Linked DNA regions of Saccharomyces cerevisiae S288C. The gene in region 1 interacts genetically with each later gene. Each region holds a gene or a part of one and is shown in the gene's direction. Other genes may lie near its edges.

Region 1 (16,882 bases):
CAAAGTAGTCTTCTACCAAATAAAAATAGATTCCTGATTGGGTATTTTTCAGAAGTATCATCTGAACTTGATGTTATTTTAAAATGAAAGCCAGCGTCCATAATTATCTTTTTCTTACTTGTTTTTTACAGTGGCGGTAGGATTGGCAATGCCTGTTCATCTCCAGTTTTCCGGTCCGCTTACGACATCGGCCTTTCTATAAGACAGGTTGGCAATGCGCCACGGTACATGATGACGATAGGAGCCTTCGAATAATATTTTGTTGTGAATTCTCCTGGGAACCTCTCAAAATCAAATATGGGTTTACCTAAATCGGCATATAAGAAGTTACTCATAGATTGTCCAACGAGAGTCATTAATAAAAACTGTGCCCAACGAGTCAAAGATGTTTCTCCGCTCATTACAAACTTCGAGAAATGGTCGGATAAGCGCAAGAAGCTCTATTTCAAAGATGAAGAGGAAATGGTGGGGCAGTTCCATTTGGAAAATTTCAATTTAAAAAATAACTTATATGGTAGGCTTTTAGCTTCTCCAATGAGAGCAGAAAAAATCTCAAAATTAAAATCGTGTAGAGAATTACTAATTCCATTGAAAGTGGTACCATCAACTGGCAAAGATCAGCATGCTGATAAAGATAAACTAAAACTGGTACCTACACTAGATTATTCCAAATCATACAAAAGCTCGTACGTATTGAATTCAGCCTCCATTGTACAAGACAACTTGGCGGCTGCGACGTCATGGTTCCCAATCTCGGTATTGCAAACATCAACTCCAAAGAGCCTAGAAGTTGATTCCTCTACATTTATAACGGAATACAATGCTAACTTGCACGCATTTATAAAAGCAAGACTTTCAGTGATACCGAATGTTGGACCTTCTTCGATAAATCGTGTTTTACTCATTTGTGACAAGAGAAAAACACCCCCGATTGAAATACAAGTAGTTAGTCATGGTAAAGGGCTACCAATTACACAGTCTGTCTTTAACCTTGGTTATCTCCACGAGCCAACTCTAGAAGCTATCGTGAGTAAAGATGCAGTTACTAATGGAATTTACCTGGATGCCGACAATGACAAGGATCTCATCAAACACCTTTATAGTACATTATTGTTTCATTCAGTTAACTGATTGCGGAAGAAAAAAGGAAGGAAAGCGGGATATATCGCTGGAATTGTCTCTCTGAATTTGCCATTATTCTTATTCAATGAATACAAAACTGGCTGTCAGCGAATGGCATCATTTTGCAATCCGAAAATGAAAAATTTGGGCGCCTCGGGCAGGAGAATTCAGAACCCTTAATCCCGCACATCTACGTAAAATATCTCTGAGGTGTTCTATAGTCCATCACTTACCATCCATCTGCAAGGCTGTATGATTGATAAAGAGGAACATTAAGGGTAAATAGATTTGTTGATTTGTTTGCACTAGTGGCTTTGTATTAAAAACTTCAAGGGCATACACATGCATTATATTCAAGAGCACAACCAATAATTTACCATTATAGAAGGTACTTCTTTGAAAACTAAATCATACACTTTTTCCCACGAAAAGGCTTACATTTAAAAGCTAAGCATTCAATTTAGTTTTGCTGATCAATTTCTCGAGTAGGCTTGTCATCCATAATATCTAGTAGCTGGAGTATCCTGTTTATTGCAAGAAAAAAAATCTACAATGTCTATGTTACCGTGGTCTCAAATAAGGGATGTGTCTAAACTATTATTAGGCTTTATGCTTTTTATTATATCAATTCAGAAAATCGCTAGTATTCTCATGTCATGGATATTGATGCTGCGCCATTCCACAATACGAAAAATTTCATTTGGATACTTTTTTGGTACGTCAATAAGACGAGCGTTTATCTTAACTGATTTTGCTCAAATATATATTGGCAAGATAACCTTGCGAATAGGTTGGAAACCCGGAATTGTGTTTCATAATGTTGATTTGAAGTTATTTGGGAAGGACAGCCATATCACTGCACATTCAACTAAAGACTCCAGAACATATTTCAATCCGCGGGATCAAACTTTTACCTTTGTAATTAACAGGCGAGTCCTATCAATTTTGAAACTTGTGTTCTCATTTTCCACTTTCTTTCATACTTTAGCTCTTACAGTGCCTAATGGAAAACAATATAAATTAAATATCGGATCCATAACGATATCACACCCACACGATGATACCATAAAGTTAGAGGCATTTTTGCATGATTTTACCCATCCTGAAACGAAAGATACTTTGAACCATACTGGTTTTTTTATGGTCTGTAAAATTGGAAAGGAAGATGATACAGGCAGCAACTGCACAAAAGTTATACTAAAAAATTGGAAATCAAGTCTCAAAATAAGTGATGTTTGTTGGCATCTTCCAGAGAAGAAAGGGAAGAATTTGCATTCGGAGCCTGTTGAGCCTTTTTCTGCTGGTGATGATGCGGAAATGCTCACTTCATATCGTAAGATGCTAAAGCCTTTTCACTACCCACTGAAAACTTTGAACATTCTGGACCTTAAGGTAGAAAATGTAAAGTTGATTTACAAAAAAAAGTTTACAATTCGCATATCAAGTGCTCAACTTTACTTGGAATCAATCTCCATTCTAAATAATGTCTCCGCTTTGGAACTTTTACCCTTAAATAAGCCCACATGGGGCGATTTTGAACTATCACTTTCTGCAAATGCTGTTGTAGTAGATATCGATGGTAATACAGCAGTTAGAATTCCATTTGGAAATGTCATACTGACGTCAGATATTTTACTATTTTTACTTGACAATGTACCTTTACGGAGAACGAAGGTATCTTCCATTTTGAACATTATAAATCCTTCAGTATTCCTCACTATACATCAAGTACTGGAAGTTCTTCATTTAGTGGACAAATTCGATAGCCCTGAGACCTCATCATGTACTAACACAAACGACAGATCATTAAATATTTTAGATTTAGATATTGATCGATTGCCCAGTTTTAACTTTGAACTACTAATGTCGAATTTTATTTCAAGGCTGCATATATCAGATGAGGAGAATGTGACGTTTAAGGTCTTCAGCACACATGCTCTCTTTAGCCGTAACAACTTGTCTATGACTCCTAAAAAGGGACAAGTAATGCAAATACGTCCGGATTGGCCATTTGCGAAGACAGCCCTAGTATCTGATCAATTATCTAACTATATTAAAATTGTGGGTACATCACTCTCTTACCTGAGAATTCCAACAGAGCAGGACGCTAACCCAGTGTCTATACCAGTCTGTGGCTTTGAAAGATTAGACACATTTCTGGATGAATTTTCAAATTCTAAATTGATCGTTCAGTCTACACTAAGACATTCGTACGTTAGTCTTGAGAACATTGAAGTTTTGCATACTTTAAGTCGCGCCTTTGACAAAATTTACTTGCTAATATCTAGCAGAACAAAAAGGAATGCGGCTCATAAAGCGAATGGTGGAAAATTGGGGGACCTAAATGAAGCCAAGAAAACATTTAACTGGTCATTGAAACTTAGAATGAAGGATATTTCATGTTCGTTACTGGTCGCTGGGTTTCTTCCGAAAAATTTGGATCCTGTGGAAGCTGAGAATTTTAACTTATCTGACGTAACTAGAGGCGCCAAAGTTGTTTTTACAGAATCAATATTGTTAGCGGACAGCCAGGAGAAAAACTTCACTATTATTGATGCATCCGTATATCGTTTCATGGATGGCACTACGTATAAGCCCTCTCCTGAGGTTATTATTCAATTTACCAATTTGTTATTGAGTTTTAACGACTCAGATGAAATTCATTTTTCACTTCCCAAGATTAAATTTAAGATGGATGTAAATATTATCTGGTTGTGGTTTTATATTCGGAGTATATGGATAAAATTTCGTCCTAATTCAAAATTGAGCCGAAATTCAGTGAGCAGTGTAAAATCTGTCAATGTTCTCGATAGATTAAGAGTAGATATAGGAAAGATGATTATAGAGCTAACGCTTCCTCATAATACAGAGGTACTCCTAATATTCGAGAGGATTGGACTTTCAAGTTCCACTAAAAATCTTACAATTGCATCTTTGTCAGCGTACGTGGTATCGGTTTATGTGAAGCATATTAAGGTTTATGTTTCCTTGCTAAATATTAATGACTTTGAGCTAGACACTGAAGAGTTGATCTGCAAGAAATCCGCTGTTATAAACACCTCATTGATTCATTTTCATGCCGAATATCATTTTAGATTTTACATGATAACGGATAACATAGTCACGTTGTATAAATCGTTTAAGCAAATTAAATTGGCATTTTCCAATTTGAATGAATTTAAGCGATTATACCCTCAGCAACAGTTTCCGAAAAAAGTTCCAAATTTACATATTTGTTGCCAGGATTTTCTAATTGATATTGAAGAAGATCCTTTTGAGCAGGAGTTAGGATTAATTTTGAAAGTTGGTGTTTTGGAACAACGTGAGAGGTTAAAGAAGCTTGAAGAGTTCAAGGAAAAGCTATCAACATATGAGGACATGAATGTACGTTTAAGGTCGCTCTATGATACCTCCCGTGGACAAAGTTTTTTCCCAGAGTTTTATGCGAATGATCAAGAATATGAGCAAAAGGCCTATCTCAGGTTGTTAGAAAACTTTTCAACGTCATGGATTGCCAGATACAGGAAAGCAAAACTTTCTTTTTATGGTATGCCTTATCGGGTTATCAGCCGTGAAGAGCTTGGTACGAAATACCACTTGTTTACTAGACAGAAAACCAGTACTGTTGCTAACCTCGTCGTAAAAGATTTGGATTTTAAACTAGGCAGTCCTTCCTTCCCTTTAGACAATTATATGGATTTTGTTTACCAGTATGGAAAAAAAGTTCCAAAATCTACGGAGTACACTTTGCTAATTATTCTTGGCCTCAAAATCAAAAGCGCGTTATGGGAGTTGCGTCTGAGAGATTATCCAATACCTGCTATATCATTTCCCGACACATTTACAACAGGTGATGTTGTATTTGCTGAAAAGATGCCAGCACCTTGCGCGCTTCATACTGTTTATGTTCCTTTTGTCAGCTCTGCCCAAAGAAGCCCCTATAATGACGCCAATACAATATATGGTTTGCACATCATTCGTACAATTAATTCAGTCAAAACATATTTCAATATTAGGTCAATGGTTACATCTTCTTCATCTGCCAGAATAACATGGGGGAAATCTCTGCAACCCGGTTATGAGTCTTTGATGCTTTGGTTTGATTTTTTAACCAAACCTCTCATCGATCCGTCCAAAAAGCTAGGATTTTGGGACAAATTCAGATATTTAGTGCATGGGAAGTGGATATACGAGTTTTCAGAGGAAAGTGAGATCCACTTAAATATTAAAGGTTCACATGATCCTTATAAGATTACAGATGATGGTGCGGGTCTGGCGTTCTGCTGGTCTGGTGGCACCACAATTTACGTTCATAACTCCACGGATCCTAAAGAGTTTTTAAAAATTGAATCCCAAAGGTTTCAGTTGGCAGTGCCAGACTTTGCCAAAGTTAGTAAATTTGATAAAGTCTTTATGAAGCTCGATGGAAGAGTAATTTGGACATTAGGTTTACTTTTTGAACAAGGCGATATATCTAAGGCTGGTGACGAAGAGAGGTTCCTTCCAAATAGGCCACATTATGAAATACAGCTGATGAATCCAGATGGAGTCGCAGATTTGGATCACCATGATACATACAAAGGATTTAGAACATCTTTTATCCACATGTCATTTGGTGTCTATTCTTCTGAGCACGGATCCATAAATAGTCTCTATCTCGCACCTTACGCTTTAACACATTTCTTTAAGTGGTGGAATTTATTTCATACATATACATCTGGTCCTATTAGGCAAGGACGGTTATTTACGGATGTACTTCAAAACAAGACAAAGTTTGGTCGCTCATTATTTACAATAGCTTATCAGCTACATTTAAAACGGCTAATGGTTACGCATATTTATCGGCATATTACTACTCAATATGATCTTGAAAAAGACCGCAAAATAACTTTTACTGGATTGAAAGGGAGGTTTGATTCACTGAAAATTGATTTGCATCAAAAAAGAGTTAAACTGACCCATACGAACCAAAAATTAAATAAGTCAAAACCTGTATGGAAGTTTAAGATGTCTAGGGGTGAGATTGATTGTGCAGAAGCAGATATTAGGATATTATCAACTCTGTTTGATCAGGAAGCAGTTAAGGAAATTCTTACTTCTGGACTCGATGGCATACTTGAAGACGAGCCATCACGTCCTATTACGCCTCAAGATGTGGAATACTTGCGTGAATCAGATTGGTATGATTATGAGGATTATATAGACTTGAATCAAGTGCCGCTTGGTTCCTCACTTCCATTAAAATTAGAAGCAATACCATTGCTATACTCTCCTAGAATATCCTACTTTAGAAAAATAAATGATGATGGTTACGTACTAGCTTACCCATTTGGTACCGAAGAATCTCACAATTGTCTGATTGGCAAGAATCATCCAGAATTGACGCAGGAGAAATTAGCAACTGAAAGAAAACGAGAAATAGAAGAACAACTAAAATTATTACATATTACGTTAAGCGAATTGCAATCGAACAAAGGCGGAGGTTCGGTAAGTGGAAATTCGGAGCGCTATGCACGCGAATTAAAAGCAGAGGTAGCTGAATTAAACCACAGATTGCACACAGTCAACACCATCTTGAGCGATTTAAAAATCTCGGAGACTATTCCTGGAGGAAATACTGATGGTGATAGCTCCAGCTCACTCTCCGATACTGATGTAAATTTGGAAAATGCACCGCCAATTCAAAATAGAATATCGCTATTGAGGACCAATACCGTGGAGTCTTTTGTATCAATGAGAAAAGCCTCTACTATGCAGGTTGAGTCCACCTATGATAACCGTTTCATGGTCCATAATATCGAGTTAAAAATCGATAATAAAATCAGGCATCACCTTTTGGAATACGCTTCCAGTGCTTTCGAAAGGAAATCTATGAGGTTTGCTGTGACTTATAAATCCGTAACTATTTTAAAAGAATTACTGGGAAATGTGTTGACTGGGGTCAGAACATCTGTAGAAGATTATGGTTCAATACTTGAGGACGATTTAGCCAGTAATTCAGAATTTATTGAGCACTTTGAGAAACTCATCAGAGAAGTTCCGAGTGATGACTTTGATTATGTTGATAATTATCTTTTTAGACTAATCTCCCCTCAGGTTCAGATCAAATCGGACGTTGAAAGGAACGCAGCAGTTATTTTAGCTGCTAGGGATATAGAAATGGGAATAATTGATATAGTTCAAGTGTATGGAAAATCAGGAAAAAGAATTCCCGTTGACGTCGATACTATTGTTGAAACTCGCTATTCCGCTGTTTCAAAGGACATTCAGTTGTTTACATTGTTCAAAAAGGATTTAGAGGGTCCTGAAGGTAGATTTTTCCATAAAAATGGATATGGTTCCGACAAAGAGTCAGATATATGGCCCCCATGGATTCCTCTTGAAATGTGCTTTGACGGGTCTTTATTAGATAAGCATGTTTTTCTAAAACGGAGATCAATGTTTTTGACCTACGTCGCTCCCAATCCCCTATTTTTTAGTGCAAATGATACGTCTGCATTCTCTTATGATTCGAGATTTCGTATTGCATTTCCAGGATTGGTTCTGACCTCGGACTGTCAACAATACTGCGCTGTATATGCAATCGCAGAAGATTTACTTTCCTTTGGATCATCATTGGATGAAAAAGTTGAGAAACTTTCCAGGATATTATTTACTGATGAGGTCAGAAATAACCTGGAAAATCTTGATGTCTCTGTTGTCACAGCATTACAAGAAAGAATAAAGGAACTCTATTATACGCGAGCATACCTCAAACTTCACGAGCCAAGATTGTTTATGAAATCAGGACAAGAGCTAACCTTCGATATTCAAACTAGTACGTTGAAGTTGACGTTACTTATGACGGCAATCAAGAAAACTTACGACCGGATGGGGAGTGGTAATAGAGTAATACAGAAAAGATTGAGGTGGCAAGTTGGAACAGATGAATTGATATGGGAATTGTACGATGAGAGTAAAACTCCTTTCGTGACTATCGGATTGGGGCCCTCTACATTTATTCGTTCAGAAACTTCCGATGGCACTAATAGTAATAAAGTATCCATTTCTTCCTTACAATGTTTCAACCAGCAAGAAAATCCCGTTTACACTGAATTGCTGGCCCCCTTTTATGAAAATTCATCCTATAATAAGAACGCGCCAATGGTAGAAATTTTTTGGATCCTGGGGCCATCAGTTGGAGGTATTTCAGATCTGCAAGATTTGATTGTTTCTCTACAGCCATTGATTTTCAAGATGGATCACAAAACATCGGAAAAACTAATGAATTATCTATTTCCAAAGATAGAACAAACTTCCATAGAACCCAATTCTCCAGAACTTGTACCACGTTCTTCCACTAGTTCCTTCTTTTCATCGTCTCCAGTTTTACGGCACAGTCTTTCTAACGGTTCTTTATCTGTGTACGATGCGAAAGACGTTGACTCTTGGGACTTGCGTAGTATCCAGAGCAAAGAAGGTATCAAAAAGCATAAGGGTGATCATAGAAAATTGTCAGCATCACTTTTTGTGCAACCTGATTATAACATCAATGAAATGGTCAAAAGATCAGGGACATTTTTCAATGTAAAATCTATTATAATCCGAAAAACTCTAATGTCCGTGTGTTATAAGGGTTCACACAGCCTTTTGACCGATGTTAATAACCTGATTGTTAGAGTCCCTGTTTTAAAGTACCATAACAAACTGTGGTCGAGGGAAGAATTTTTTACTGCTTTGAAAAGAGACGTCGTAAGAATAGTTTTACAACATTTGGGAAATATTATTGGTAACAAATTTTTGCCTCATAAAAAAGAGAATAAGAAAAAAACTTCTATGGAAATACATCGATTACTAAGTCCAGATTCTCAAAATCGTGATAATTCACATATCCTTGAAGTCGAAGGGCATAATTCATTTTATAGCTCCACGCACTCTTCAGATATCAGATCAATAAACTCAGATGAAACGTATAATGAAAATGATGGAAATGGAGTAAAGCCATTTTACCCTGTTACGAGTGAGTTTTCAAAAAATAAATGAGGAAACACACACATGTGTCTAGCGTAAATATTCTTCAGTTATATAGTAATTGTATTATATACTAAAATGAAAATCAGTAAGATTTTTTTTTTACAGGCCTTCTTGGCGTTAGTTTTTCCGGTTTTTCACTTACTAAGATGAGATGATGGGGCGCACGGCCAAAGTATTCCCCATTCATCAATTTAGCATGCTAGAATAAAAAGATTAAGAGCAATATCTACGACCGACAAAGTGATCTATCAAACTGCTGACAAAAAATGTCGTTGGAAGCCATCGTCTTTGATAGATCGGAGCCAGAAAATGTTTCGGTAAAGGTACTTGATCAATTACTTTTACCATATACTACTAAATACGTTCCAATTCACACAATTGATGATGGGTACTCAGTCATCAAAAGTATGCAGGTGAGAGGTGCCCCGGCAATTGCAATTGTGGGTTCGTTATCTGTTTTGACTGAGGTACAATTAATAAAACACAACCCAACTTCTGATGTTGCTACGCTGTATTCTTTAGTTAACTGGGAATCTACAAAAACAGTGCTAAATAAGAGGCTAGATTTCCTTTTGAGTAGTAGACCCACAGCCGTTAATTTATCAAATTCTCTTGTAGAGATAAAGAACATACTGAAATCCTCAAGTGACCTAAAGGCTTTTGACGGTAGTTTATATAATTACGTCTGTGAATTGATAGATGAGGATTTGGCGAATAACATGAAAATGGGTGATAATGGAGCTAAGTATTTGATTGACGTGTTACAAAAGGACGGTTTCAAGGACGAATTTGCCGTTCTGACGATTTGTAATACTGGATCCTTAGCAACCTCTGGATATGGCACGGCTTTAGGTGTTATCCGTTCTTTGTGGAAGGATTCACTTGCTAAAACCGACAAGGCAGACTCGGGATTGGACAATGAAAAATGCCCGAGGATGGGCCATGTCTTCCCACTGGAAACTAGACCTTATAATCAAGGGTCAAGGCTAACAGCATACGAGCTAGTTTATGATAAGATTCCATCAACTTTAATTACTGATAGTTCCATCGCGTATAGAATTAGAACTAGTCCAATTCCAATCAAAGCAGCATTTGTTGGAGCTGATAGAATTGTTCGTAATGGGGATACAGCAAATAAAATTGGTACTTTACAACTTGCTGTAATTTGTAAGCAGTTCGGAATTAAGTTTTTTGTAGTAGCTCCCAAAACAACTATCGATAATGTAACCGAAACTGGCGATGACATTATTGTGGAAGAACGTAACCCTGAGGAATTCAAGGTTGTTACTGGTACAGTAATTAATCCTGAAAATGGTTCCTTGATATTGAATGAGTCAGGAGAGCCAATCACTGGAAAGGTCGGTATTGCCCCTCTTGAAATCAATGTCTGGAATCCAGCCTTCGACATTACTCCACATGAGCTTATTGACGGAATTATCACAGAAGAAGGTGTATTTACCAAAAATTCCAGTGGTGAATTTCAACTGGAAAGCCTTTTCTAGATATCATTCTAATTAGACTCTCGAAATAATTACTTTTGTACTGTAAAGGATAAAATTTCATATTGAGATGTAAGAATTATTTTTTTTTTTCATTCAATAAAAGGAACACATTAATGTATATTGTCAGAACCTTGTAAGTCCAAAACACTATAACCAACTGATACAATATGTATTGTCTTTGTTTCTGCATATTTGTAAAACGTGCAAAAAAGTAAAGAACTCCTCATAGGGGGCTCGAACCCCTGACATTTCGGTATCCTTGCTTAAGCAAATGCGCTTAAAAGCCGAACGCTCTACCAACTGAGCTAACAAGGATGAGTTCTTCGGAGCGTGTTGTATCTCAAAATGAGATATGTCAGTATGACAATACGTCATCCTGAACGTTCATAAAACACATATGAAACAACCTTATAACAAAACGAACAACATGAGACAAAACCCGTCCTTCCCTAGCTGAACTACCCAAAAGTATAAATGCCTGAACAATTAGTTTAGATCCGAGATTCCGCGTTTCCACCACTTAGTATGATTCATATTTTATATAGTATATAAGATAAGTAACATTCCGTGAATTAATCTGATAAACTGTTTTAACAACTGGTTACTTCCCTAAGACTGTTTATATTAGGATTGTCAAGACACTCCGGTATTACTCGAGCCCGTAATACAACAGAGCGTCCTTAATAAATATTTCTATAAATATTTGATGTTTACCTTCCGAAAAAGGTACATTGCCAACCTTATTTGATAAATGTGTAAACTAAGATAAGTGTTGAGATCGGATTTTGATAAAGGCATTTGTTTGGGGTGTATGAGTTGGGAAAAGAAACAACAATCATCTCTTGACCAGTTTTCCTACTACTAGTGTGTTATCATATAGCGTAAGAGTATGACATAGAGATTGAGAAACAGAAACTGAATCATAACGAACATCACAGAATTTACATTTCTACACAATTTTCAGAAAAAGTGGAGTGGTGATATATGCTTATTGTTCTACAAGTTCTCTTCATGCGTTTTTGTTTATCTATCTTATTGAATTATTATCTTCATGCATTTATACTTATTAAATTCGATGAACATTTCATATTATTTTTATATGCTTCATAATTCATGTTACTACGATCTATACAGAGTATTATCGTAATGTCTTACCTTTAGCTTGTCACTTAACACATGCACTGCATTTCGAAAAGATGCTTAAGCAAGTTTATCATAATTTGGGAGTGTTCGGTGAATTTATACAGAAAGCCCCTCCAACGTCTTATTGATAATGTATATTTAGTTCATTTACCAAAATACTATCAATTCATCAACCTCCAAGTGGTTTTGACTAAACAGCCCACAATTGACATATGTGACTGCTAAGCAGACCTTTCTTGAAGTAAATTTCAGGGAAACTAAGCTACGGCCTTTCCAAAATATGGGCAGGAACTGCTTAATCCTTTCCTTTTATTAGATAAGCACTTTAGTATTTTTGTTTTTCATGGCCTTATCCTACGTTATTGTCGTGAAAGAAATGGCAGAAATTTCTGTTGTACATAAATTACTAACTGCCTTACCTTGAAAACGGTTTTATTACAAAAATAGGGGTCAAGTGTTTTGTTATCCCTGTTGTTGTTGTTTTATAAGTCCTAATCTCGCTTGAATATCGCCCATATTCACACCCTGTTCTTGACCGTCTACTAAGGTGCCTTAGGGGGACTCAAACTTAAGATCGCCTTCTACGCGTTTTATGCTATGATCATTAGTGTTGATGCATCGGAAGTTTAAAAATTAAGTGCGAGTGCATTAGCACAGTGGAATTATTAGAATGACCACTACTCCTTCTAATCAAACACGCGGAAATAGCCGCCAAAAGACAGATTTTATTCCAAATGCGGGTAACTATTTGTATAATATGTTTACATATTGAGCCCGTTTAGGAAAGTGCAAGTTCAAGGCACTAATCAAAAAAGGAGATTTGTAAATATAGCGACCGAATCAGGAAAAGGTCAACAACGAAGTTCGCGATATGGATGAACTTCGGTGCCTGTCCCTCGAGGAAATAGCAAACTCGTTACAGCTAGCATCTCATAGCATGGGCATAGAGTTTCAGAAATTTTGCTCTTAATGGAAAATATAACCTCTTTGGGGAAAAGAGAAATAGATCCTTTCTCAAAAATTTAGAAAGGAAAAAAAATCAAAATATAATAAAATAGATTTTTTTTAGGTTAATTTTTTGCCAATTTAGCTAGACTTTTGAAAAGATCCAAAAATTTACTAAAATTGAATCTTTCTGGTATTAATTTTGTCCTATACCTCAAGAAGTAAAGTATTCTCGAATTGATACTTCTGAAAAGCGAAAGAAATATAGCTAAAGGATACTGGTTATTTATTCTTTCTTTTTTTCTTTCTTTTTGATTGAGCCAGTGTATAATAAAAACCTACTGCGAGCTATTCAATAAATTGACATAGAATATCTGTTGAAGCGGTTCTTTGATTGAGCATCTGTTTTCCTTTTGTATTTTTGTCCTTTTAGATTCTTTTAACGACATTGGAGAAATTTTAATCATTGTATAAAAACTTCATTCGCTCGTTTGTCAGAAGTTTTTTTATAACTTGCTATTTCCTTCCAAGAAGCCTTTTATTGATTACCCCCTCTCTCTCTTCATTGATCTTATAGATGTCCAACCCAATAGAAAACACAGAAAACTCACAGAATACTAGTTCATCAAGGTTTTTGAGGAATGTACAAAGGTTGGCCTTAAACAATGTAACAAATACGACATTTCAAAAGAGTAATGCGAATAATCCAGCCCTAACAAATTTCAAATCTACACTAAACTCAGTAAAGAAGGAGGGAAGTCGGATTCCTCAATTTACTAGAGAAAGCGTATCAAGATCAACAGCCGCACAAGAGGAGAAAAGAACCCTGAAAGAAAATGGTATCCAACTCCCCAAAAACAATCTTTTAGATGATAAAGAAAACCAAGACCCAAGTAGTCAGCAATTTGGTGCGCTAACTTCTATAAAGGAGGGGAGAGCTGAGCTGCCTGCAAATATAAGTTTACAAGAATCCTCCTCAGCGAAGGAGATAATCCAGCATGATCCCCTAAAAGGCGTTGGATCAAGCACTGAGGTAGTCCATAACTCGGTAGAAAACGAAAAACTTCATCCAGCTAGAAGTCAACTTCAAGTTAGAAATACCGAAAGTGAAACTGATAGTGGAAAAAAAAGACCAATTTCTACAATTGTTGAACAAGAACTGCCCAAAAAGTTTAAAGTGTGCGATGAAAATGGCAAAGAAGAATATGAATGGGAAGACCTAGATGCAGAAGATGTAAATGATCCATTCATGGTCAGCGAGTACGTCAATGATATATTCGAATATCTCCACCAACTAGAGGTCATTACTCTTCCAAAGAAGGAAGATCTCTATCAGCATAGAAATATTCATCAAAATCGAGATATCCTAGTTAATTGGTTGGTTAAAATCCATAATAAATTCGGCTTATTACCGGAGACTTTGTATCTTGCCATTAACATAATGGACAGGTTTTTAGGTAAAGAGCTAGTTCAACTGGATAAGTTACAATTGGTTGGCACATCATGCCTTTTCATTGCCTCTAAATATGAAGAGGTCTATTCTCCTAGTATAAAACATTTCGCATCAGAGACAGACGGTGCATGTACGGAAGATGAAATCAAAGAAGGGGAGAAATTCATTTTAAAGACATTGAAATTTAACCTAAATTATCCCAATCCGATGAATTTTCTGAGAAGAATTTCGAAAGCAGATGACTACGATATACAGTCTCGAACTCTTGCCAAATTCTTATTAGAGATATCATTGGTAGATTTCAGATTTATTGGGATACTACCCTCATTGTGTGCAGCAGCTGCGATGTTTATGTCGAGAAAAATGTTAGGTAAAGGTAAATGGGATGGAAATCTAATACACTATAGCGGCGGGTATACTAAAGAAGAACTTGCGCCCGTGTGTCACATGATAATGGATTATCTAGTGAGTCCAATTGTTCATGATGAATTTCATAGAAAATATCAATCTAGAAGATTTATGAAAGCTTCTATAATTTCCGTCCAATGGGCTTTAAAGGTTAGAAAAAACGGCTATGATATAATGACCTTGCATGAATGAGAAGAGGGGCAGATGCTTAAAATATCTAAAACGATAATCGATAAATGTCCATATAAAATGTATGGCTGCTTTTTAATCATTTCTTTTCACATTTCCATTTATTCTTACAAATTTCACACCCAATTTTAGCGCCTTTCATTCTGTTATTTTTAAACTGACGATAAAAAATCATTCGAAGCCTAAGATTTCCAAAATAAAACTCCATTTTTATTCTCACTAATAACACCACACCATTAATTTTAATTTTTTAATTTTAATTTCAGATTTGTACCATAAGTTTTATTCTATTTCAGTTCAACCGTTTCCGGATGCATGTAGCGAGGGTAGACAAAGAAAAGCATCAGTATCGGATGTTGATATTATGGGAAATATCATAACCTTAGTCTCTTAAAAAATGCTGCTTTCTTCTCATTTTTCATTTCTTTTAAAATTATTTCAGTATAGTTATTATAATTAACATTGGAATAACATTAATAATAATAATTTTTTAATAGTAATAATGATAATAATAATAATAAAAATAAAAGAATAAATTTAAAAACAAAAAAAATTCTAATATTAATGATGATAATAGTAGTAATACTGGTGGTATTATATATGTTGAAGTGAACACGCATATCACTATAAACTATATATACATATATATAGATAGATAGATAGATGCAAAAAATTTTTTCCTTTTAGTTCAGCAAAAAGAAAAGAAAATGTAAAGAGTATGCGAATTCATGAGCATTACTAGTACTAATCTACTTAAGATTAAATAGATTTTGAAAGTTGCTATGCATTTCGGATGTACACCACTTGAAAGTTTGGAAATAAACAGAGCCATACCTTGGTTTCTTGTACTTCAAAATCAATGAATCTAAATGAGTTTTGGAACTAGCGATGTCTTTGACTAGATCAATGCAGAGAGACTGAAACGCTTCATCGTGTATTGGATCGATACCACCACTGTAATGCTGTAGTGTTCCATTCCATAGCTCGTTCTTGTTTCTGTTGGTCATTCTTCTCGCTATATACATTGCCATTGCGCTTACGGTAGATGGAGGTAAATGAATGAATTGGTGGCAGCAGTAGGCATACTCTAAAATAAACTTACCAATATTTCTATTAACCGGATCGTAATCATCTGCCTTGGAGATCCTCCTTAGGAAATTGAGTGGGTTGGGCCAACCAATGTTGAATTCTAAGGAAGTGAGCATGAACATTTCCGCATTTTTTATGTCGTTTTTAGAAGCCGCGCCGTCAGTGATATAAGCGTATTCAGCTAGTTTGGGCAAATTTACCTCTTCAAATTTTGCCGCGATGAAAAGTGAGGTAACTGCCAATAATTGTAACTTGTTCATCGTAACTTTATTTTTAGCTAAAAATCTATCCATTAAGTTTATGGATAGGAATAACGTTTCCGGATAGCATTGAAATTTTTCGTGCACCTCTACCAGCCAATCCACTAATATTGTTCTCATGGAAGGCCTCAAATAATACTTGGACGTTTTGTCGAGTAAATAGTTGTGCGATGGTAACGTTTCTAATTCTCTTCTATATAAAAATGCAAAAATTTCAGCAGAATATTCTGCTACCATTGCAGTATCATCTTTTTCAACATAATCTAGGTCCTGCCAGCCTACTATTTCACTCACTCCTTCAGCGTCTATTCTGCGTTTTTTGTTCACTATCGAAGCAGCATCATCATCTTCTCCTTCTTCTTCTTCTTCTTCTTCTTGCTCTGCTGCCGTTCGATCGTTATATATCTGTCTTTTTTGAACGGCGCTAACAATAGGTCTAATGTTTTCTTCTCTTCGTACTTTGGCCGCCTTGCTCCCTGCTACTATTCTCTTGTTCTGGCTTAAAGGATTATTGTTCACTGGTACATCTGTTAAAGCCCTTCTTGGTTTAGAATCCTGAACCTGCTGCTTACTAGAGCTGTCATTTTTTGAAAGGGCCCTTTTATTTTGAAGAATCTTTAGGTTTGAATTGCACAACTGCCTCTCATTTTCATTATAAATCATAGAATTTCTTTTAATACTCTGCTCATGGTCGTGGTTCTCTCCCATTGTTCAGTAAAGGTGTTCAGCGGCTTTAAATACAGGGAAAAGCGCGTTAC
Region 2 (15,028 bases), on another chromosome or scaffold:
CATTCCTGCAGGAACTGTGGAAAAGTAAAAACTGTGGCATGAAAGTACTACCAAATTGTGGCGAGGTATTCAATGGTAATAGCAAAACAGCAACAACGCCAATTTGAAAATGTACTACTAAGGAAGATAATTTAAACAGACAAGTTGTAGAAGAAATCTGAATCAGCAACTTTTAGTGTGCAACTTGAAAAAGTAATCAAAAAACAGATGAAGCGCATTCCAATCAAAGAACTAATAGTTGAGCACCCCGGAAAAGTTCTTATCCTTGATGGTGGACAGGGTACAGAATTGGAAAACAGAGGCATTAACATAAATAGTCCGGTATGGTCTGCAGCTCCTTTTACGAGCGAATCCTTTTGGGAGCCATCTTCTCAAGAGCGAAAGGTGGTAGAAGAAATGTACAGAGACTTTATGATTGCTGGCGCAAACATATTAATGACAATTACTTACCAGGCAAACTTTCAAAGCATATCTGAGAATACCTCGATTAAAACTCTGGCTGCTTACAAGCGTTTTCTCGATAAAATCGTGTCATTTACTCGTGAATTTATTGGTGAGGAAAGGTACTTAATCGGGAGTATTGGCCCATGGGCAGCACATGTATCCTGTGAATATACTGGTGACTATGGTCCCCATCCTGAGAATATTGATTACTACGGCTTTTTCAAACCCCAGCTGGAGAACTTCAACCAAAATAGAGATATTGATCTTATTGGTTTTGAAACGATTCCAAATTTTCATGAGTTAAAGGCTATTTTATCCTGGGATGAAGATATTATTTCGAAGCCCTTTTATATTGGGTTGTCGGTGGATGACAATAGTTTGCTACGAGACGGTACCACTTTGGAAGAAATTTCTGTCCATATAAAAGGCCTCGGAAATAAAATTAACAAGAATCTCTTATTAATGGGAGTTAACTGTGTCAGTTTCAATCAATCGGCATTAATTCTTAAAATGTTGCACGAGCATCTACCTGGCATGCCTCTGCTAGTTTACCCAAACAGTGGAGAAATCTACAATCCCAAAGAGAAGACATGGCACCGGCCGACTAATAAGTTGGATGACTGGGAGACCACGGTTAAGAAATTCGTTGATAATGGTGCGCGCATTATTGGCGGTTGTTGTAGAACGTCTCCTAAAGATATCGCCGAAATTGCATCAGCTGTAGATAAATACTCCTAATTCAATTTCTTTTAACAAATATCTTGTATCTACAAAACTAAAAGCAGTGTATATACGTCAATGTGCGGTCCTCAGCAGAAGGTTATTTTATCTTGATCAAATAGAAAAATCATTAGAACTTTTTACTGCCTGCCCTATTTTGGTTAATTTGCACACATTTCAGTGCATATTTTTCGCCAATCCGTAAGTATTTGGAGGCACGTCCCGGACTAAAGAGGATATTCTAGATACAGAGCTTCAAGTGCTATATACGGAGGAAGATATAAAGATAGTGCCAGCTTGAAGTATCACGGTATGCATTTCTATCTTATTCACCATCAAAAAATACGTGTACCCCCTTGCTGTGGCATGCTAGAATGCAAAAAATGATACATAATTTCAGACCACTTAATCTCATGGTTTATATACAAATATGAAACGTTTTGCAGGTAACTGATGGTCTCTGAGTGATGAGAGTTTCTATTCCAATAACGTTAAAGCTTTTACAGTGTATTTATCAAGATTTTAATGTTTAAGACGTGCATAATGACGGACGTGACTATAAATTTCACTTTGAAGGTAGATGGATGTTTAGAGTCAAGATCATCTCTCAGAAACGTACAAAAAGTGTACAGATGCTAGAAAACGATCAACTTGATATTTTGGGACAACAACCTTCGCTATACAAACTATACACTCAAATATGCTCTATCTACCGTGTACCAGATCCTTCTGCTCATGACCATATCGTAAATACCTTAACAAGAGGACTTGAAACATTGGCTAAAAATTTCCAGTGGCTAGCAGGAAATGTCGTAAATGAAGGTGCTGACGAAGGTAACACTGGTACCTACAGAATTGTCCCGTCAGACAAAATTCCACTTATCGTCCAAGATCTTCGAGAAGATCTGTCTGCCCCAACAATGGATTCGCTTGAAAAAGCTGACTTTCCTATCTACATGTTAGACGAAAAGACTTTTGCGCCTTGCATGACTATCAATCCACCTGGAAACACTATAGGTATGGCCGCCAAGAGTGGGCCTGTATTTGCAGTTCAAGCAAACTTTATCTCCGGCGGCCTCGTCTTAACTATTGTCGGGCAGCACAATATTATGGATATAACAGGACAGGAAAGTATCATCAACTTGCTCAATAAATCTTGCCACCAAAAACCTTTCTCTGATGAAGAACTGCTCATTGGAAATATAGATAAAAGCAAATCTATTCCTTTGTTTGATGAAACTTGGGAACCCGACACCACGCTAGTTCATGAAATAGTGGAAACCTCTAGAAATACAAGTGGAGAGGAAAAGGAACAGTCTTGTTCTTCGAACTCTACTTGGGCTTATGTTGAATTTTCTGCTATCTCATTGCAGAATCTGAGGATTTTGGCAATGCAGACATGTACTTCTGGCACAAAATTTGTCTCCACTGATGATATCGTCACTGCTTTCATCTGGAAATCAGTTTCTCGAGCCCGTTTATCTCGACTTAAACCAGAAACGAAATCAAATTTAGGGCGTGCTGTGGATGTTAGAAAACGGCTAGGACTCCCCGAAACGTATCCAGGGTTATTAGTCAACATGACCTTTAATACAGGTTCCCTGAAAAGCTTGGATCATAAAAGTTTGGGCGTTCTTGCATCACAGATTCGCAGGAAGCTAGACCCTAAAGTCTTCGATTTGGCCTATAATACATGCGCACTTGCTACGCTCCTTAGCCGATGCCCGGACAAGACTAAGGTTTCTATACCTCAACCAATTGATACTTTATCTGGAATTATGGTCAGTTCGTGGGCAAAAGTCAGCCTGTATGACGTTGATTTCAATCTAGGGCTTGGGAAGCCCAAGAGTGTACGACGGCCGCGCTTCATTTCCCTTGAGAGCCTAATATATTTTATGCCTAGATCCTCCAGAGGTGAAATGGTGGTTGCTCTTTGCCTTAGAGATAAAGATTGGGAGTGCCTGAATGCGGATAAAGAATGGACAAATTATGCTACACATATAGGATGATGATATGTAATATATTACCAATAGGCCACCTTGTTACGTAAGTCAATATGGCATGCATTCATTCATTATAGTTAAAAAAAAAAAAATAGTAGGAAGTATTCAAATATAGATAGTTTTGTATAGTTTTGTTATTTTTTTAAAATCTTTGTAAATCTCTACATTACACAAATGACTTTTATGTTTAAAAGAGATGAGCTGCGTTACATCGTAGCCTTCAGATACGTTAGCAATAATAAAAAAATGAATAAATATTTACTACAATTGAAACTGCCACCTGTTTATCATTTTTCAATAAGGAGATGAACTAGGCCATCAACAATTACTAACACGCACACACGCACTACTACAACTACTTGATTTTGAATTATATGATACCAAGTGCCTATGATTTACTTAATAACAACGCTCACTGTATTGTTTTATTATCGAAATATAAGACGATGAAATTGAAGATGAGAAGTGAACCACTCACACCATTCCGCCAAAAATCACATTAAAATTTCAAAAAATTACTTACGCGGATACAGAAACCCCCTTCGGCAGCTCTTTAGATATCAACTATTTGACTACTATCTGCTTCTCAGAAGCCTACAAGTACGCAATTGTTTCAATGAATTTACTGAGAACACCTAAAACTACAGATTCTAACAATATACGACTCCCAACACATGTCTGCTATTCTTAATTAAACTTTTAGGAAAGCTATAATATAGTTATTTTTCTTCCATGGAAGCCGTTTAGAACAGACTGAGTATGGGCTTTAACAATAAGCTTCTGTACGAGGGTCCAAATCTAAAATTCGGATATTCTTTTTGACCGAAAAAGGAAATGTCACAGGCGCGCGCAAAAGGGTTTTTCAAGGCACCCCGGCACCCCTATAATTGGCATTCCCACATTCTGCGCATACGAATACACATGAGTGCCATAAAACAATACTCCACATACGAAACCTATGAAAGATGTACGATTCGTTCAGAAACAAGAGCATCTCCATAGAGATAATGAGATTGTGTGAAAGATGAGATATGGAGAATATGTGAGGTGCTAAATGAGCGTCTGTTAACGAATCGTTTAAGTAGTGATGACAGATGGAGGAACGGGTATAAATAGAGCTGCTTCAACTATATGCCTTTGAGGTATGCGCTTTCATTTCACTATTTCTTGTTAAGATTACATCAGCACTAACAAACAAAACAAATACAATGGTCAAATTAACTTCAATCGCTGCTGGTGTTGCCGCCATCGCTGCTACTGCTTCCGCAACCACCACTCTAGCTCAATCTGACGAAAGAGTCAACTTGGTTGAATTGGGTGTCTACGTCTCTGATATCAGAGCTCACTTGGCCCAATACTACATGTTCCAAGCCGCCCACCCAACTGAAACCTACCCAGTCGAAGTTGCTGAAGCCGTTTTCAACTACGGTGACTTCACCACCATGTTGACTGGTATTGCCCCAGACCAAGTGACCAGAATGATAACCGGTGTCCCATGGTACTCCACCAGATTAAAGCCAGCTATCTCCAAGGCTCTATCCAAGGACGGTATCTACACTATCGCAAACTAGGGAGTGATGCCTTTACGAATGAAAATCCATAGACAGTGAAAAGTAATGAAAAAATAAAATAAGAAACTACTTTTTTTGATGATATAAATACCGTTGATTATATAAATGTATATTAATATTATAGACCTATTTGATCAATGACGGTGTTCGTGAAGTATTTCATGAATACGATAAACATAAGAAAGAAACTTTTACACTATTGTAGAAAAAGCGTGGACGGAAATAAAGCTAACAGAGTATGCCCAATAAACAACAATGAAATTGGAAGCGTATGACTTCGCAGCACTTTGTCCTTCCATAAAAATGAGTCGCTGCTTCTTTTTTCATTTTTTGGCGCGTCGCGTCGGGCCGTATAGAATATGCGTCACTTCTAAGAACAAGATTGCAGATCAGGGCAGTGCGAGTTACAAGTCATGGTACCAGACTCTCATTTAGAGACCCTCATTTTTGACACTTAAAATATCAAAATTTCTGGGTTGCGATAGTTTTTGTGTAACTGTAACTAGAAATAAAGCTGAGGGGTTAGTGTTTTATCAACAATAAGATAGAGGGTGGTAAGATGAAGTGAGACAATATCGTAACGTCCGTTTTAGTATACGGCGCTGATAAGTTATATTACCGTAGAATTATTTGGCGTTTCGTTGACTCCTACAAAAACAACAAACCTATCACCGTATCGTCTTCTTTAGATATAGTCTCTTCGTATGAGTAGTGTCACATACAAGATTAAAGATGCATCAGTTATCCTTTTAGGATATTGCGGTTAGCATATGGGAATGGAAATAGGATACAATTTTATCATAGCGCCGGCATGAGTTTGAGCCACTACCGTATTGTTTCTCGGTGAATATAGAGTGTTACGACAGTGAGGTGGCATATTATTCTAATGTATGGTCTGTGAAAGTTAGAAATATTCTGAAATGGCATCCGTTCAAGCAAATGGTAATATTAAGGAACTTTTACGTTAATGACGTTATGGTAGTGCTCATACTTCAAGTCAATATGTTTATTTCGTAAAGTTGAAAGATAAATAATTTTTATGTTTAGGTGATTTTGGTGGTGATTTTGTGGGTATATTGAAATAAGTGTGTATAAATTGAGTGGTTAGTATATGGTGCAAAAGTGGTATAACGTATGTATTAAGGGCAGTTATACAATATTTGGGGTCGCCGAATGAGATATAGATATTAAAATGTGGATAATGATGGACTTTATGGGTAAATGGCACAGGGTATAAACCGCTGAGGCAAGTGCCGTGCATAATGATGCGAGTGCATTTGGTACTGATGGTGAGAGATGGGTGATGGAGTGGAATGTGAGAGTAGGGTAAGTTTGAGAGTGGTATATACTGTAGCATCCGTGTGCATATGCCATATCAGTATACAAGTGAAGGTGAGTATGGCATGTGGTAGTGGGATTAGAGTGGTAGGATAAGTATATGTGTATTATTTACGATCATTTGTAGACGTTTCAATATGGTGGGTGAACAACAGTACAGTGAGTAGGACATCGTCGATGGTAGGGTAAGCGGTAGTGGAGTTGGATATGGGTAATTGGAGGGTAACGGTTATGGTGGACGGTGGTTAGTGGTAAGTAGAGAGATGGATGGTGGTTGGGAGTGGTACGGTTGAATGAGACAGGGTAACGAGTGGAGAGGTAGGGTAATGGAGGGTAGGTTTGGAGGCAGGTTCATCAGGGTTGGATTAGGGGTTGTGTTGAGGTACTGTGTGGGTGTGTGTGGGTGTGGGTGTGGTGTGGGTGTGTGGGTGTGGGTGTGTGGGTGTGGTGTGGGTGTGGGTGTGGTGTGTGGGTGTGGTGTGTGTGGGTGTGTGTGTGTGGGTGTGGGTGTGGGTGTGTGTGTGTGGGTGTGGTGTGTGGGTGTGGTGTATATATATGTCACTGTATTGCATGCTGGATGGTGTTAGACAAGGCCGTAGGGACATATAGCATCTAGGAAGTAACCTTGTACGAAAATAGGCAATATTTCCTGTTTAGGCGATTGTGACGCAGATTTTAGTCCAACGATCTAGCGTCAAGGAATTTTTTTATAGTGGGACATTGCACCAAGGAAGTAACTTGATACGTCGTGGGTGAATGGGTCTGTTTTCTTATTCGGCAGGGTAATACATTTTTGGGGGAAGTTTGTCTGTCTGACGCGCCATATGTAGGTACGCCAAAAAGGGCTCCTCTACTTCGAAGCGCGAGGTCGTATACCTAATAAGGAAATGTAATTTATAACTTTCTATTATATTGGTCTTTTCGAGAGCGGAAGAAGTTGTAGGCTAAGCGCAGGCTAAGCGTAGGTCCATATTTAAAGTATCCAAGAGAATATCCACGAAGCGGCTGAGCAACGAACAGAATCCTGGTTCTCCTCGACTAAGCAGATAGTTAAGATACTGTGCACCATGGAAATTGAAAACGAACGTACGTACCGACTACTTTATTTTTGCAGGCCGGAAATCAAGGATGAATGAGACATCCTTCTGTTTTCTATGTTGGGACAGACAGTCGCTTATCTTAGTGAGATTTCTTATTAACTGAATTTTCTTTGCTGCTGCTGGAGATTTGCACCTGCATAGCGCAGATTCTGCTTCTTCTCAATAGAGTAGCTTAATTATTACATTCTTAGATGATGATAAGACGGAAACTGGACAATCTTTTGTTTATATTGATGGATTTCTTGTCAAAAAGCATAACAATCAACATACTATTGTTAATTTCGAAACTTACAAAAATAAAATGAAAGTTTCCGATAGGCGTAAGTTTGAAAAAGCAAACTTTGACGAGTTTGAGTCGGCTCTAAATAACAAAAACGACTTGGTACATTGTCCCTCAATAACTTTATTTGAATCGATCCCCACGGAAGTGCGGTCATTCTACGAAGACGAAAAGTCTGGCCTAATCAAAGTGGTAAAATTCAGAACTGGTGCAATGGATAGGAAAAGGTCTTTTGAAAAAATTGTCGTTTCCGTCATGGTCGGGAAAAATGTACAAAAGTTCCTGACGTTTGTTGAAGACGAACCAGATTTCCAGGGCGGACCAATCCCTTCAAAGTATCTTATTCCCAAGAAAATCAACTTGATGGTCTACACGTTGTTTCAAGTGCATACTTTGAAATTCAATAGAAAGGATTACGATACCCTTTCTCTTTTTTACCTCAACAGAGGATACTATAATGAGTTGAGTTTCCGTGTCCTGGAACGTTGTCACGAAATAGCGAGTGCCAGGCCGAACGACAGCTCTACGATGCGTACTTTCACTGACTTTGTTTCTGGCGCACCTATTGTAAGGAGTCTTCAGAAAAGCACCATAAGGAGATATGGGTACAATTTGGCACCCCACATGTTTTTGTTACTACACGTAGATGAGCTATCGATTTTTTCTGCATACCAAGCAAGTTTACCTGGCGAAAAGAAAGTCGACACAGAGCGGCTGAAGCGTGATCTATGCCCACGTAAACCCATTGAGATAAAGTACTTTTCACAGATATGTAACGATATGATGAACAAAAAGGACCGATTGGGTGATGTTTTGCATGTGTGCTGCCCAAGTTGAGAAGAGATACTAACAAAATGACCGCGGCTCTCAAAAATAATTGACGAGCTTACGGTGATACGCTTACCGTTATCCAGAGCTACAGCGCAACGTATACGTCGACGATACAACAAGAACGGTTCATCGGAGCCTCGACTAAAGACGCTTGACGGACTCACTTCCGAGCGCTGGATTCAATGGTTAGGCCTTGAAAGCGACTACCATTGTTCATTCTCTAGTACTCGGAATGCGGAAGACGTAGTGGCAGGTGAGGCGGCGAGTTCAGATCATGATCAAAAAATTTCAAGAGTAACGCGAAAAAGGCCCCGAGAGCCCAAGAGTACAAACGATATCCTCGTCGCAGGCCAGAAACTCTTTGGCAGCTCCTTTGAATTCAGGGACTTGCATCAGTTGCGCTTATGTCATGAAATATACATGGCAGACACACCCTCTGTGGCAGTACAGGCCCCACCGGGCTATGGTAAGACGGAGTTATTTCATCTCCCCTTGATAGCACTGGCGTCTAAGGGCGACGTGAAATATGTGTCGTTTCTGTTTGTACCGTACACAGTGTTGCTTGCTAATTGCATGATCAGGTTGGGCCGATGCGGTTGCTTGAATGTGGCCCCTGTAAGAAACTTTATTGAAGAAGGTTGCGATGGCGTTACTGATTTATACGTGGGGATCTACGATGATCTTGCTAGCACTAATTTCACAGACAGGATAGCTGCGTGGGAGAATATTGTTGAGTGCACCTTTAGGACCAACAACGTAAAATTGGGTTACCTCATTGTAGATGAGTTTCACAACTTTGAAACGGAGGTCTACCGGCAGTCGCAATTTGGGGGCATAACTAACCTTGATTTTGACGCTTTTGAGAAAGCAATCTTTTTGAGCGGCACAGCACCTGAGGCTGTAGCTGATGCTGCGTTGCAGCGTATTGGGCTTACGGGACTGGCCAAGAAGTCGATGGACATCAACGAGCTCAAACGGTCGGAAGATCTCAGCAGAGGTCTATCCAGCTATCCAACACGGATGTTTAATCTAATCAAGGAGAAATCCGAGGTGCCTTTAGGGCATGTTCATAAAATTTGGAAGAAAGTGGAATCACAGCCCGAAGAAGCACTGAAGCTTCTTTTAGCCCTCTTTGAAATTGAACCAGAGTCGAAGGCCATTGTAGTTGCAAGCACAACCAACGAAGTGGAAGAATTGGCCTGCTCTTGGAGAAAGTATTTTAGGGTGGTATGGATACACGGGAAGCTGGGTGCTGCAGAAAAGGTGTCTCGCACAAAGGAGTTTGTCACTGACGGTAGCATGCGAGTTCTCATCGGAACGAAATTAGTGACTGAAGGAATTGACATTAAGCAATTGATGATGGTGATCATGCTTGATAATAGACTTAATATTATTGAGCTCATTCAAGGCGTAGGGAGACTAAGAGATGGGGGCCTCTGTTATCTATTATCTAGAAAAAACAGTTGGGCGGCAAGGAATCGTAAGGGTGAATTACCACCGATTAAGGAAGGCTGTATAACCGAACAGGTACGCGAGTTCTATGGACTTGAATCAAAGAAAGGAAAAAAGGGCCAGCATGTTGGATGCTGTGGCTCCAGGACAGACCTGTCTGCTGACACAGTGGAACTGATAGAAAGAATGGACAGATTGGCTGAAAAACAGGCGACAGCTTCCATGTCGATCGTTGCGTTACCGTCTAGCTTCCAGGAGAGCAATAGCAGTGACAGGTGCAGAAAGTATTGCAGCAGTGATGAGGACAGCAACACGTGCATTCATGGTAGTGCTAATGCCAGTACCAATGCGACTACCAACTCCAGCACTAATGCTACTACCACTGCCAGCACCAACGTCAGGACTAGTGCTACTACCACTGCCAGCATCAACGTCAGGACTAGTGCGACTACCACTGAAAGTACCAACTCCAGCACTAATGCTACTACCACTGCCAGCACCAACGTCAGGACTAGTGCTACTACCACTGCCAGCATCAACGTCAGGACTAGTGCGACTACCACTGAAAGTACCAACTCCAACACTAGTGCTACTACCACCGAAAGTACCGACTCCAACACTAGTGCTACTACCACCGAAAGTACCGACTCCAACACTAGTGCTACTACCACTGCTAGCACCAACTCCAGCACTAATGCCACTACCACTGCTAGCACCAACTCCAGCACTAATGCCACTACCACTGAAAGTACCAACGCTAGTGCCAAGGAGGACGCCAATAAAGATGGCAATGCTGAGGATAATAGATTCCATCCAGTCACCGACATTAACAAAGAGTCGTATAAGCGGAAAGGGAGTCAAATGGTTTTGCTAGAGAGAAAGAAACTGAAAGCACAATTTCCCAATACTTCCGAGAATATGAATGTCTTACAGTTTCTTGGATTTCGGTCTGACGAAATTAAACATCTTTTCCTCTATGGTATTGACATATACTTCTGCCCAGAGGGAGTATTCACACAATACGGATTATGCAAGGGCTGTCAAAAGATGTTCGGGCTCTGTGTCTGTTGGGCTGGCCAGAAAGTATCGTATCGGAGGATGGCTTGGGAAGCACTAGCTGTGGAGAGAATGCTGCGAAATGACGAGGAATACAAAGAATACTTGGAAGACATCGAGCCATATCATGGGGACCCTGTAGGGTATTTGAAATTTTTTAGCGTAAAAAGGGGAGAGATCTACTCTCAGATACAGAGAAATTATGCTTGGTACCTGGCCATTACTAGAAGAAGAGAAACAATTAGTGTATTGGATTCGACAAGAGGCAAGCAAGGGAGCCAAGTTTTCCGCATGTCTGGAAGGCAGATCAAAGAGTTGTATTATAAAGTATGGAGCAACTTGCGTGAATCGAAGACAGAGGTGCTGCAGTACTTTTTGAACTGGGACGAGAAAAAGTGCCGGGAAGAATGGGAGGCAAAAGACGATACGGTCTTTGTGGAAGCGCTCGAGAAAGTTGGAGTTTTTCAGCGTTTGCGTTCCATGACGAGCGCTGGACTGCAGGGTCCGCAGTACGTCAAGCTGCAGTTTAGCAGGCATCATCGACAGTTGAGGAGCAGATATGAATTAAGTCTAGGAATGCACTTGCGAGATCAGCTTGCGCTGGGAGTTACCCCATCTAAAGTGCCGCATTGGACGGCATTCCTGTCGATGCTGATAGGGCTGTTCTACAATAAAACATTTCGGCAGAAACTGGAATATCTTTTGGAGCAGATTTCGGAGGTGTGGTTGTTACCACATTGGGTTGATTTGGCAAACGTTGAAGTTCTCGCTGCAGATAACACGAGGGTACCGCTGTACATGCTGATGGTAGCGGTTCACAAAGAGCTGGATAGCGATGATGTTCCAGACGGTAGATTTGATATAATATTACTATGTAGAGATTCGAGCAGAGAAGTTGGAGAGTGAAGGAAATTGTTGTTACGAAAGTCAGTGATTATGTATTGTGTAGTATAGTATATTGTAAGAAATTTTTTTTTCTAGGGAATATGCGTTTTGATGTAGTAGTATTTCACTGTTTTGATTTAGTGTTTGTTGCACGGCAGTAGCGAGAGACAAGTGGGAAAGAGTAGGATAAAAAGACAATCTATAAAAAGTAAACATAAAATAAAGGTAGTAAGTAGCTTTTGGTTGAACATCCGGGTAAGAGACAACAGGGCTTGGAGGAGACGTACATGAGGGCTACTTAGGGCTATGTAAAAGTGTTGTAGGGCTAAAGAAGAGGGTTTCATTTTCATTTTTTTTAATTTCGGTCAGAAAGCCGGGTAAGGTGTGACAGCGAGAGTAAAGGTAGATGTAAGAGAGTGTGTGGGTGTGTGGTGTGTGTGGGTGTGGGTGTGGTGTGGGTGTGGTGTGTGGGTGTGGTGTATATATATGTCACTGTATTGCATGCTGGATGGTGTTAGACAAGGCCGTAGGGACATATAGCATCTAGGAAGTAACCTTGTACGAAAATAGGCAATATTTCCTGTTTAGGCGATTGTGACGCAGATTTTAGTCCAACGATCTAGCGTCAAGGAATTTTTTTATAGTGGGACATTGCACCAAGGAAGTAACTTGATACGTCGTGGGTGAATGGGTCTGTTTTCTTATTCGGCAGGGTAATACATTTTTGGGGGAAGTTTGTCTGTCTGACGCGCCATATGTAGGTACGCCAAAAAGGGCTCCTCTACTTCGAAGCGCGAGGTCGTATACCTAATAAGGAAATGTAATTTATAACTTTCTATTATATTGGTCTTTTCGAGAGCGGAAGAAGTTGTAGGCTAAGCGCAGGCTAAGCGTAGGTCCATATTTAAAGTATCCAAGAGAATATCCACGAAGCGGCTGAGCAACGAACAGAATCCTGGTTCTCCTCGACTAAGCAGATAGTTAAGATACTGTGCACCATGGAAATTGAAAACGAACGTACGTACCGACTACTTTATTTTTGCAGGCCGGAAATCAAGGATGAATGAGACATCCTTCTGTTTTCTATGTTGGGACAGACAGTCGCTTATCTTAGTGAGATTTCTTATTAACTGAATTTTCTTTGCTGCTGCTGGAGATTTGCACCTGCATAGCGCAGATTCTGCTTCTTCTCAATAGAGTAGCTTAATTATTACATTCTTAGATGATGATAAGACGGAAACTGGACAATCTTTTGTTTATATTGATGGATTTCTTGTCAAAAAGCATAACAATCAACATACTATTGTTAATTTCGAAACTTACAAAAATAAAATGAAAGTTTCCGATAGGCGTAAGTTTGAAAAAGCAAACTTTGACGAGTTTGAGTCGGCTCTAAATAACAAAAACGACTTGGTACATTGTCCCTCAATAACTTTATTTGAATCGATCCCCACGGAAGTGCGGTCATTCTACGAAGACGAAAAGTCTGGCCTAATCAAAGTGGTAAAATTCAGAACTGGTGCAATGGATAGGAAAAGGTCTTTTGAAAAAATTGTCGTTTCCGTCATGGTCGGGAAAAATGTACAAAAGTTCCTGACGTTTGTTGAAGACGAACCAGATTTCCAGGGCGGACCAATCCCTTCAAAGTATCTTATTCCCAAGAAAATCAACTTGATGGTCTACACGTTGTTTCAAGTGCATACTTTGAAATTCAATAGAAAGGATTACGATACCCTTTCTCTTTTTTACCTCAACAGAGGATACTATAATGAGTTGAGTTTCCGTGTCCTGGAACGTTGTCACGAAATAGCGAGTGCCAGGCCGAACGACAGCTCTACGATGCGTACTTTCACTGACTTTGTTTCTGGCGCACCTATTGTAAGGAGTCTTCAGAAAAGCACCATAAGGAGATATGGGTACAATTTGGCACCCCACATGTTTTTGTTACTACACGTAGATGAGCTATCGATTTTTTCTGCATACCAAGCAAGTTTACCTGGCGAAAAGAAAGTCGACACAGAGCGGCTGAAGCGTGATCTATGCCCACGTAAACCCATTGAGATAAAGTACTTTTCACAGATATGTAACGATATGATGAACAAAAAGGACCGATTGGGTGATGTTTTGCATGTGTGCTGCCCAAGTTGAGAAGAGATACTAACAAAATGACCGCGGCTCTCAAAAATAATTGACGAGCTTACGGTGATACGCTTACCGTTATCCAGAGCTACAGCGCAACGTATACGTCGACGATACAACAAGAACGGTTCATCGGAGCCTCGACTAAAGACGCTTGACGGACTCACTTCCGAGCGCTGGATTCAATGGTTAGGCCTTGAAAGCGACTACCATTGTTCATTCTCTAGTACTCGGAATGCGGAAGACGTAGTGGCAGGTGAGGCGGCGAGTTCAGATCATGATCAAAAAATTTCAAGAGTAACGCGAAAAAGGCCCCGAGAGCCCAAGAGTACAAACGATATCCTCGTCGCAGGCCAGAAACTCTTTGGCAGCTCCTTTGAATTCAGGGACTTGCATCAGTTGCGCTTATGTCATGAAATATACATGGCAGACACACCCTCTGTGGCAGTACAGGCCCCACCGGGCTATGGTAAGACGGAGTTATTTCATCTCCCCTTGATAGCACTGGCGTCTAAGGGCGACGTGAAATATGTGTCGTTTCTGTTTGTACCGTACACAGTGTTGCTTGCTAATTGCATGATCAGGTTGGGCCGATGCGGTTGCTTGAATGTGGCCCCTGTAAGAAACTTTATTGAAGAAGGTTGCGATGGCGTTACTGATTTATACGTGGGGATCTACGATGATCTTGCTAGCACTAATTTCACAGACAGGATAGCTGCGTGGGAGAATATTGTTGAGTGCACCTTTAGGACCAACAACGTAAAATTGGGTTACCTCATTGTAGATGAGTTTCACAACTTTGAAACGGAGGTCTACCGGCAGTCGCAATTTGGGGGCATAACTAACCTTGATTTTGACGCTTTTGAGAAAGCAATCTTTTTGAGCGGCACAGCACCTGAGGCTGTAGCTGATGCTGCGTTGCAGCGTATTGGGCTTACGGGACTGGCCAAGAAGTCGATGGACATCAACGAGCTCAAACGGTCGGAAGATCTCAGCAGAGGTCTATCCAGCTATCCAACACGGATGTTTAATCTAATCAAGGAGAAATCCGAGGTGCCTTTAGGGCATGTTCATAAAATTTGGAAGAAAGTGGAATCACAGCCCGAAGAAGCACTGAAGCTTCTTTTAGCCCTCTTTGAAATTGAACCAGAGTCGAAGGCCATTGTAGTTGCAAGCACAACCAACGAAGTGGAAGAATTGGCCTGCTCT

What was found.
Region 2: mutations in MRI1 (region 1) and AYT1 together harm fitness more than expected from each alone (negative genetic interaction), as found in Saccharomyces cerevisiae (one large-scale study listed by BioGRID).

The regions. Positions count from the first base shown.
Region 1 is NC_001148.4:758,351-775,232, forward strand, and holds MRI1 (S-methyl-5-thioribose-1-phosphate isomerase MRI1), read left to right. Parts: upstream 1-9,401; coding exon 9,402-10,637; downstream 10,638-16,882. Other genes in the region: RRG8 (Rrg8p), read left to right, coding at 298-1,131; HOB2 (Hob2p), read left to right, coding at 1,675-9,144; B-type cyclin CLB2, read left to right, coding at 13,303-14,778; B-type cyclin CLB5, read right to left, coding at 15,525-16,832. UniProt on the Saccharomyces cerevisiae protein: Catalyzes the interconversion of methylthioribose-1-phosphate (MTR-1-P) into methylthioribulose-1-phosphate (MTRu-1-P).
Region 2 is NC_001144.5:2,793-17,820, reverse strand, and holds AYT1 (acetyltransferase), read left to right. Parts: upstream 1-1,748; coding exon 1,749-3,173; downstream 3,174-15,028. Other genes in the region: S-adenosylmethionine-homocysteine S-methyltransferase MHT1, read left to right, coding at 208-1,182; seripauperin PAU18, read left to right, coding at 4,376-4,738; YLL066C (Y' element ATP-dependent helicase), read left to right, coding at 7,985-8,271, 8,371-11,701; YLL066W-B (uncharacterized protein), read right to left, coding at 12,046-12,216; YLL067C (Y' element ATP-dependent helicase), read left to right, coding at 13,520-13,806, 13,906-15,028.